Oryza sativa Japonica Group: one gene and its partner. Each later gene encodes a partner of the first gene's protein in a complex. Links are inferred from orthologs where the notes say so. Each region holds a gene or a part of one and is shown in the gene's direction. Other genes may lie near its edges. The genes, in order: sister chromatid cohesion 1 protein 3 and sister chromatid cohesion 1 protein 1.

The links.
Region 2: sister chromatid cohesion 1 protein 3 (region 1) and sister chromatid cohesion 1 protein 1 share a complex: the UniProt entries of both Arabidopsis thaliana proteins name them as parts of the cohesin complex. The link is inferred for Oryza sativa Japonica Group from reciprocal best matches to the Arabidopsis thaliana genes SYN3 and SYN1.

What each region holds. Positions count from the first base shown.
Region 1 is NC_089042.1:10,216,103-10,220,437, forward strand, and holds the start of sister chromatid cohesion 1 protein 3, read left to right. Parts: upstream 1-1,295; 5' UTR 1,296-1,465; coding exon 1,466-1,589; intron 1,590-2,941; coding exon 2,942-3,203; intron 3,204-3,280; coding exon 3,281-3,327; intron 3,328-3,408; coding exon 3,409-3,440; intron 3,441-3,520; coding exon 3,521-3,588; intron 3,589-3,655; coding exon 3,656-4,047; intron 4,048-4,252; coding exon 4,253-4,335. UniProt on the Arabidopsis thaliana protein: May be involved in sister chromatid cohesion during mitosis.
Region 2 is NC_089039.1:29,073,527-29,078,066, forward strand, and holds the start of sister chromatid cohesion 1 protein 1, read left to right. Parts: upstream 1-1,489; 5' UTR 1,490-1,624; coding exon 1,625-1,677; intron 1,678-1,867; coding exon 1,868-1,936; intron 1,937-2,034; coding exon 2,035-2,093; intron 2,094-2,188; coding exon 2,189-2,233; intron 2,234-2,319; coding exon 2,320-2,339; intron 2,340-2,447; coding exon 2,448-2,524; intron 2,525-3,721; coding exon 3,722-3,818; intron 3,819-3,975; coding exon 3,976-4,057; intron 4,058-4,136; coding exon 4,137-4,215; intron 4,216-4,324; coding exon 4,325-4,488; intron 4,489-4,540. UniProt on the Arabidopsis thaliana protein: Involved in chromosome condensation, pairing and segregation during meiosis. Responsible for cohesion between replicated sister chromatids.

The sequences.
Region 1 (4,335 bases):
TTTTTTTTCCTTAAAAAAATCAATCTAACCTATGAGCAACTAATCAATCTCACTTGTACTCTCTCAATCCAAAAGCCTAAGGGCATATTACTTTTTAAATGGGATTAATGAAAAATTAACTCATCTTGCATATAACAAACACTAAGGATTACTCCTATGTATGCATATAACCAATGAGTATTAAGATAATTGCTTGAGTTCCAATAATTCAGCACTACAAAATAATAAGACAACATCTTTATTTAAGTCTAGGATACATGAAGGCTATAAATATGCACATCTCATTAGAAAAAAATATGCTTAAAACTTTTGGAACAAAATAATAAGACAACATCTTCATTTAAATCTAGGTTACATGGAGGCTATAGATATGCACATCTCGTTAGGAAAAATATGTTTAAGACTTTTGGACGGAAGGGTACAAATTGCATCTTGTTTCACTGTGAATGAAGACTCATGCTTTTATTTTTCCTCTTCTATTGCTGTTCAGGTAAGATTTTTCTACGCTATTAGATCTACAAAGATATAAAGGCACAAGACATTAGGCGTTAGAGGTGAGATTAACTAATTTTTTTAGGGAAAAATGGTAAAAACTAAAATCCCGTGTGGATAATAAATTATAATGTCCAAAAACAAAATGAACGGTCATCAAACATCGAACTATGTGTGATCCGGCGAACGAAATCATCATAGTACTAGTTTATTAGAAAATAGAAAGAGTAATTTTCTCTACAGCAATGCTGCTCAAACAATAATATCAACCATCTAATTTAAATAGATGGAAGTTATAGAAATTCTAGATATACTCACAGCATGAGACATAGTGTTAGACTGTTAGTAAGATAAAATTTACTTCATCCGTTTCACAATGTAAGGCTTTCTAGCATTACCCACATTCATTTAGATGTTAATGGATCTAGACATATGTGTTTAGATTCATTAACATTTATATGTATGTGAGCAATGCTAGAAAGTCTTACATTGTGAAATGGAGGGAGTAGTATGTATAGACTTTTCCTTTTCTCTTTTGCGGGGATAGCTAGAAAGGGTAATTTGATGCACGCCACAGCGGTAAAATGGGGGGAAACAACCGCAGCAAATTCGTTCGGCATGTAAAAGCCTCAAATTCTAGTATTCTACAAGCAAAACATCCACGAAAATAACTCCCCCACATTCCAAAACCAACCACCTGCTAGGGCCCACCTGTCAGCCACCCTACCACCCCGCCCGCTGCTCCCGAAATCCGCGCGCCAAAAGACTCCACATACGAAGCGGCTTCCCGCTTCACTCCCCTTCCCAAAAACTCCTTCTCATCCAAAACTTCTATTTTTCCCCCCCCAAATCTCATCTCATCTCATCCCCCTCCCCTCCCTCTCCGTGCGCCGCCACCACCACCGCCACCGCCGCCGCCGCAGGAGCAACCCCGAGGAGACGGAGGAGGGAGGAGGCAGCCGACGCCGCCGCGATGTTCTACTCGCACACGATCCTTGCGCGGAAGAGCCCACTGGGCACGGTGTGGATCGCCGCCCACCTCGAGCGCAAGATCAAGAAGCCGCAGATCGACGGCATCGACATCCCCTCCTACGCCGGTAAGCCCTCCCCTCCCCTCTCTCCCAAAGACGCGCTCTTTCTTTTCCCCTTTGTTGTTGCTGCGCGGGTAGAAAGGCGGCGCCTTTCAGCGGCGGCGGGGGTAGAAAGGATAAGCTTTTTTTTTTTTTTGGTTCCTCCGTGCAACTGGGATTTGTTCCGGAGTTGTGAGTGAAAAATGTTTTGGGGTTAGCAATGGGGTCAAGTGATGGTACAGAGATTTGGATCCCAATCTGCATTCTGCAATTTGGGACAGGAAGGAAGAAGGTTTGGATAGTTTTTTTTAGAGCATTTTGCTAGGGGTTCGCAGTATTTATCTGGTTATCAGTTAGAATTTCGTGTAAATGATTGTTCTAGTGGCATGATTATTCATTAATGACAAAAGATACAACAAAATTTGGTCTTTTAGTTATGGGAGGTTGTGGTGGGGTGTGCACCGGAGACTTTTGGGTGGATTTTTGCAGGCCCTATTTGGATGCTAAACATTTCAAGAATGACAGCATTTGCATATCCAGAAGGAAGAAAAAAAAAAGAACGACCAAACCCAATTTTTTACCTCCCAGTACAGTATAATCACTTGCGGTGGAACACTGCCTACTTGAGCCACTCTATTTGAAGAGTAATTCATATATGTTTGTTCTACTTATATGAATTACACAAATAAGTTTATATGTTATCCAGTCAAATCATAGAACATTGACAAATAAACTGGCTTGTTGTGCTTGCATTGTTCTTTTAGTACATTATGTAACAGTTTTTACTTTATTCTGTGATTAACTTTACATATTTAACCTTGCAAACTCAAGAACAAAGTAGATAAGCCTTATGTTTAGGAAGCTTACTGATGGAATTTTATTAGAACAAAACATGTTTTTTGACTGGAAGTAAAACAACTGGATTAATATTGCATATTTGGGCATAGATGTCTATACTCTATGGGAAGTTTTTTTTATTCTCTTTGGGAGGAAAGTGTGACAATTTTTTTTATTTCAACTTCGAACTGTGCTTTGCAAGAACTTGTATTATAATGGCATGCTGAATAGGTCACATTTTTCTGCAGGTCGCTTACCCTTGGCAATTAGTTTGTGTTTGCTTAGTGAGGTCATGTGTCGCCCTTAGGTGTTGTGCACGTGAGCGTGTTCTTGGGTGTGTTTGTCAGTTTAACCTCCTCTTTTTCTATCTATTTTCTTCTTAAAGAAATGAAGTTCAGTCCTCCCGCATTTTTGAGAAAAATAGGTTACATATTTTCCTTAGTTAAGTATTGAACAATTTTCTCATATACATTGAATTTTCCCTATGCTTTACTCTGCAACCTAATGCCATGTCTTCTAATGCATGAGTTTTATTTTTTCAGAATTTATCATGTTCCCTGAAGTTCCAATTGCTCTGAGGTTGTCAGGGCATCTTCTTCTAGGTCTAGTTCGCATTTATTCATGGAAGGTAAACTACCTCTTCCATGACTGTAACCGGATGCTAAGCACAATCAGAACCGCCTTCGCTTCTGTACAAGTAGATCTGCCCCTTCATGCGGATCATGCGCCTTTTGACACCATCACATTGCCTGATACATTCCGTCTTGATGACATAAACCTAGATGATGCAATTCGTCTGATAGAGTGAGTACTTTTCTTCTCATATATTTTCTCCGCGTCATACAACCTCAACTAATATTATTGTGTTAACTTTCTGACAGTACGCCAGATAATCATCGGAAGAGTCTGGACCAGATCACCCTGGCTGGTATACGAAGTTCAATTAGTCAATATATGTATTATTATCATTCCAATGCGGATGCTTAATGATTTCATTTTGGTGCTGCAGAAGGAGACTATCTGATGATTGATCTTGATGAGGTATTCCTCACTGACTTGCGCTTTTTGCAGGCTTGTTTAGTTTGCATGTTTTTTAATATTTGTGCTTATAAATTGTGTAGGATGCTAGAGTAGAGCTATCAGCTCCTGGACAATCTTCACACATGGGACCTGAACCAACTGACGAAGAGTACGTGTCATGTTTTTTTTCCTTCTAATTTCTATTTTGGTGGACTCATGTCCGCTTTGCTTATCAGGAGATTGCCTCCATTTCACATCGATTTTGGGCCAAGTGACAATATGGATGAGGAAATTTCCGTAGATCCTTCCCAAGGCAACAACTCGGAGGCAGTGAACACCAGTAACATAAATCAGGCAGATAAAGCACCAGATTTACCTGAAATAATGCGTGAAGCACCATTTGAGGGCCCTGAACTTAACTTGCCAGATATTGATGAGGTAAACAATGATCCCATGGATGTGACTGAGGAATCTTCACCATTTGTGTCCAAGAATATCACCCCTCCGGCACTGGAACGAACTATATCCCCTGGTCAAGGTGGATTATCTGGGACATCCATTCCCAATGCACGAGGAAGTACAAGCACCACATATGACAATATAGAAGATGTTATACCAATGGATATTGGTTAGTATTTTGCTTGTTGACTCATCTTGTTCTTTCCAGTTTTGTTTTCTGCCTTCATTTTTTCATAAGACCTAATAGAAATAAGACTACATTGCAATTCCACCAGCATTACTTATGTGGGATGCTAGAATGTTGTGTAAAATGTACTTTCCCTTGATGTTAAACATGTCTTCTCATCCAAGTTCTTTTCCTTCTGTGATTTTAGGAATGCCTGATTTTAGGATTGAACCATCTCCACCTCGAGTACAAGATGAGATGAATGCACAACCAGTACAAGGTGAGATAAAC
Region 2 (4,540 bases), on another chromosome or scaffold:
GCTACCGTCAATTGAGTACTCGTACTAATGTACGCGTGTAAATGCTACTGACTGCATGAAAGAAACTGTACAAGTCCTGTGCTTACACAATGTACTACGGCCTAGCCATGATGTAGATGATGCAGCACAAGACCTTTTAATTAATTAATCGATCGACAAGCGATCCATGCATGCATGGGAGTAATTTACAGGCTTCGAGAGTTCATACACTGTTGCATTGCGACTTGCGAAAAACATAGTGCTACACTGAGAATTAATGATGGCCATCCGCAGCTAAGTGATGATCTGTGAGCAATTAGCAATTACCGGTTACTGACGAGAGGTGAGTAGGTAAAGGCATTATTAGCAAGAACTGCATTGGAACAAAGTTCATTCCGGTTGTCAAAACTCAAAACCCCAGCGAGCTGAGGCGTGAGAGCAACATCGCCAGCTGTCGCCGTCGCGTCGCGGGGGGGGGGGGGGGGGAGGGGGGCTACGTGCTGGCGCGGGATTAGATCCATGAATCCATCCGTGCCGCCCACGCCGTCAAACAGCCACGCGCGCGTGGGGTCAGAAACGCGCGCGGCTGCACGGCTGCGCCGAGAGGTGGAGCTCGCCGCTGCCGGCGGCTGTGGCGTTGCCGGCCGCCACCGCCGGACCTCCCCGTGACCCCGTGAGCCATGGTGCCTAGAGGCTGGAGAGGAGAGGAGAGAGATGGAGAGAGGGGAGATGGAGAGGGAGGAAGAAGATGAGGAGGTGAGTATGACACGTGGGGTCCACGTGGGTTCCACTATTTTTTATAATTATTTTATGTGTGAAAATGACATATGGGTCCCACAGACTTTATTATTTTTCCGAATCGAATTGCCACGTAAGCGCCACGTCAGTGCCATGTCAGATGAAGACCGAGTTAAATTAGCCACGTAGGCGCCACGTCAGCCAAAACCGCTATCAAAACCGCCGAGCGACCTCGTTTGCCCGGTTTTCGTAAGTTGAGGGACAGGTCATATCCGGTTTTGCGGTCAAGGGACAAAAATCGGATTAGGCGACAAATAGAGGGACCCAAAGTGAACTTATTCCTTGGGGAAAAAGAGAAGAGAAAGAAGTGAGCACTGATATGTGGGCTCACATATTTTTCTTCTCACTTACATGTGGACTCCTCATGTTTTTTTAATATTTCTTGCTGACTAGGATGTCACGTGAGCGAAACAAGTCTTTCATACTATCATGGTATTTGATTTGGACGGTTTTGACAGGATGAAGGGTAAAAGGATTTTGGTATTGTGTTTTAGGAATGCCAATTAAACTCGAGTGAAGACGGGGTACGGTTAATGGACTTATTCGGGGAGACAATAGTGAAAAATTATTTTGGCCCCGGAAGGCCTTGGCCCATGAGTGGCTCCGGCGCGGTGGATTACCGAGACTACCCTTTACGCGCAAAACATTTCACCGATCTGCCCCCCTGATGTCTTTCTTCCCCCACAAACCTCCCTCCCTTCTTCCTCTCTCCGAGGTCTGAACTCCCACCCCACGCAACCATCGCAAAAACCCCACTCCACCTCTCACCTGCTCTCTCCGCCGCCGCAGCGGCGCAGCGCCTCCACTCTCACTCGCTCATCCATTCCCTCCCTCCTCACGATCGAGAATGTTCTACTCGCACCAGCTCCTCGCGCGGAAGGCTCCGCTCGGCCAGATATGGTGGGTTTGCTTCGCTCTCCGCTCCTCTCGATCGCGTCCTTTCGGCTTCTCTTCTCATGCGCCGTTCTGCGGTGCTCCGTTCTATATTGTTTTCTGCGATTTCTCTGCTCGTTCCGCTCCGAAATCCGAATGTTCGCCACTTGGTTGGAGTTGATTAGGCCGCTGATTACTCCGCTTTTTTTTTTCGCAGGATGGCGGCGACGCTTCACTCGAAGATCAACCGGAAGCGGCTTGACAAGCTCGACATCATCAAAATCTGGTGAGCGAATTAGTCCGAATCCAGTTGTCTCTGATTTCTTCGTTTCGAACTTGACGGTTTTTTTTGGGGGGATTTTGTGCGTGTGGTTTTTGGGTTAGTGAGGAGATTTTGAACCCGTCGGTACCCATGGCACTAAGGCTCTCCGGAATTCTCATGGGTGAGTCCAGTTTGCTTGTTGTCTCCATAGTTCCGATCGCATTTGTTTGGTGATATTTTCTGATGTGGGTGCTTGCGTCGTGGGAGTGTGAGTAGGTGGTGTGGCGATCGTGTACGAGAGGAAGGTGAAGGCTCTGTATGGTGAGTTGCTCCCTGATTGCTTCTCTTTTGTTTCCATTTTTTTTGGATTCGTTATAGACTCAAACTGTGTGAGATCTTCTTCGCAGATGATGTGTCTCGGTTTCTGGTAAAATTCGAGTTCGATTTTCACCTAATTTTGGTGCCTCCTCCTTGATCCATTTGCCTGTCTATGCTAACATGGTTCAGATTACGCTTGTACTAACTCCTCACACAGATTGAGATCAACGAGGCATGGCGGGTCAAGCCAGTCGCAGACCCCACCGTACTTCCCAAGGGCAAAACCCAAGCCAAGTAAGTGCCCTCTTTGTTTCCATGACCTTCTAGGACTAGAAGTTTCTAGATGTTCTGTGCACGGTTTTGGGTTCGAGGGAAGATTGAAGAACATGCTATTATGTTGGTGACCGAGGGGAGTTTGCTTTTGTTTCCCTGCTGCCAGGGATTGTGAGTTTGTGTGTGATTTTCACCATCCGATGCTAATCTGATGGACTCGTCATTTGACACAGTTGCAAGTTTTGATATGTCATCAGCTTACTTGGTTCTGATTAGAACATGCTGCATCTGTGTAATGTTGATTTTATGATGATACTATCTCCTTGCAGCATAGTACATTGTTATGTTTTCAGATGTACCTGATGTTGTCATATGACTGATTGTTCTGTTCTACCTGTTGTCTATTGGCGGTTCATGGGACCCTGCTGTTACTTGCCTCTTGTTGTCTTGCTGACTTTGGTAGCAGCCGATGTCTGTATTATGCAGGAGTACTATTCTACAAATGATCTGTGTTTCCTGGCAGCATAAATTTGTCTGTATGTTGTTCCAGTATATGTAGGTCCTCTACATTTGTAGGGTGATGAAGGGCTTTTGCTTCCCCACAGTGTTTCCTCCTCTCTTAATGAAATGATATACAACTCTCTTGCATATTCAAGAAAAAAAAACTGGAAGGGCATTAGGCAGTTAGGCAGGCATTGTCAGTGAGCGATACATGCTTTATGGGGATGAACATTTGACTTTTTCTTGGGTGTCAGTTACTGGTGCCAAGGGAGCAGGTCTGAGGGCCGTCTGGTACTTGAGAAATGTTGCTATCTTAGAGTCTAGGGAATTCCATCACCTTTGGGAACCGGAGGCAAACATTTCTTAATCTTGTATCATGCTCGAAGGACTGACTCTTGTGGGTGTACCATTTCCTTCCATTGTGGCCTGCATCTGATATGTAACCATGTGGCTGTGCCATCATCCCCTTGATCCCTTCGGAACTATGTTCGATAGTTACTGCAATGTTCACGTGATGTTGATACCTGTACTGTTGCAATGAGTTTAACCCTCTTGGAGTCCTGGATAGTTCCTCTGAATGATTGTATCCCAAGGGTCTTTTCAACTTACTTTTGTAAATAGCATAGAGTGGGTATAAGTTGGTGGATGGAGAATGATATTTTGTACCAAGAGTAAAACAGTAATGGTTTGCTCATCTAAACTTGGGGCTTCATGCAGGTATGAAGCAGTAACACTGCCAGAGAATATCATGGATATGGATGTGGAGCAGCCCATGCTTTTCTCAGAGGCTGATACTACAAGGTTCCGGGGAATGGTAATCCCTGTAATATGTATATTTCGGTGGTGTCTGATTGTATGCATTGAAAGATGGCATTAAGTTATGAGCAATAACCACGAGATAGTCTTGCTTTCAGTCTCCTGACTTTTGCCAGATTGTCTCTATTCCTCTGAAATCCGTCATGCATGTGCAGCGTTTGGAGGATTTGGATGACCAATACATTAATGTCAACCTAGACGATGATGACTTCTCGCGCGCTGAGAATCATCACCAAGGTTTTCATTTCTTTTCTTATGAATTACTCTTTGTGGTTGCTTAAGAGGTGTACTTTCTGACTGAAATATGTTATCTCAGCTGATGCAGAAAATATCACCCTGGCTGATAATTTCGGGTCTGGGCTTGGAGAGACTGATGTGTTCAATCGTTTTGAGAGGTGAAGCAAAATTTTATTCTTCTCTTATTCTACCATTCATTTTTTGCACTTCTTGTTCCTTATTTTGGCCAGTACAATTATTCATTGAGCAATGTTACAATGTCACCAGATTCGACATAACAGATGATGATGCAACTTTCAATGTCACTCCTGATGGACACCCACAGGTTCCAAGTAATCTGGTTCCTTCTCCACCTAGGCAGGAAGACTCTCCTCAGCAACAAGAAAACCATCATGCTGCCTCATCCCCTCTTCACGAAGAAGCTCAACAAGGTCAATTCAAGCACATGGTTTGGTCTATTTGATCCTAAATTTGGAAAGGGTA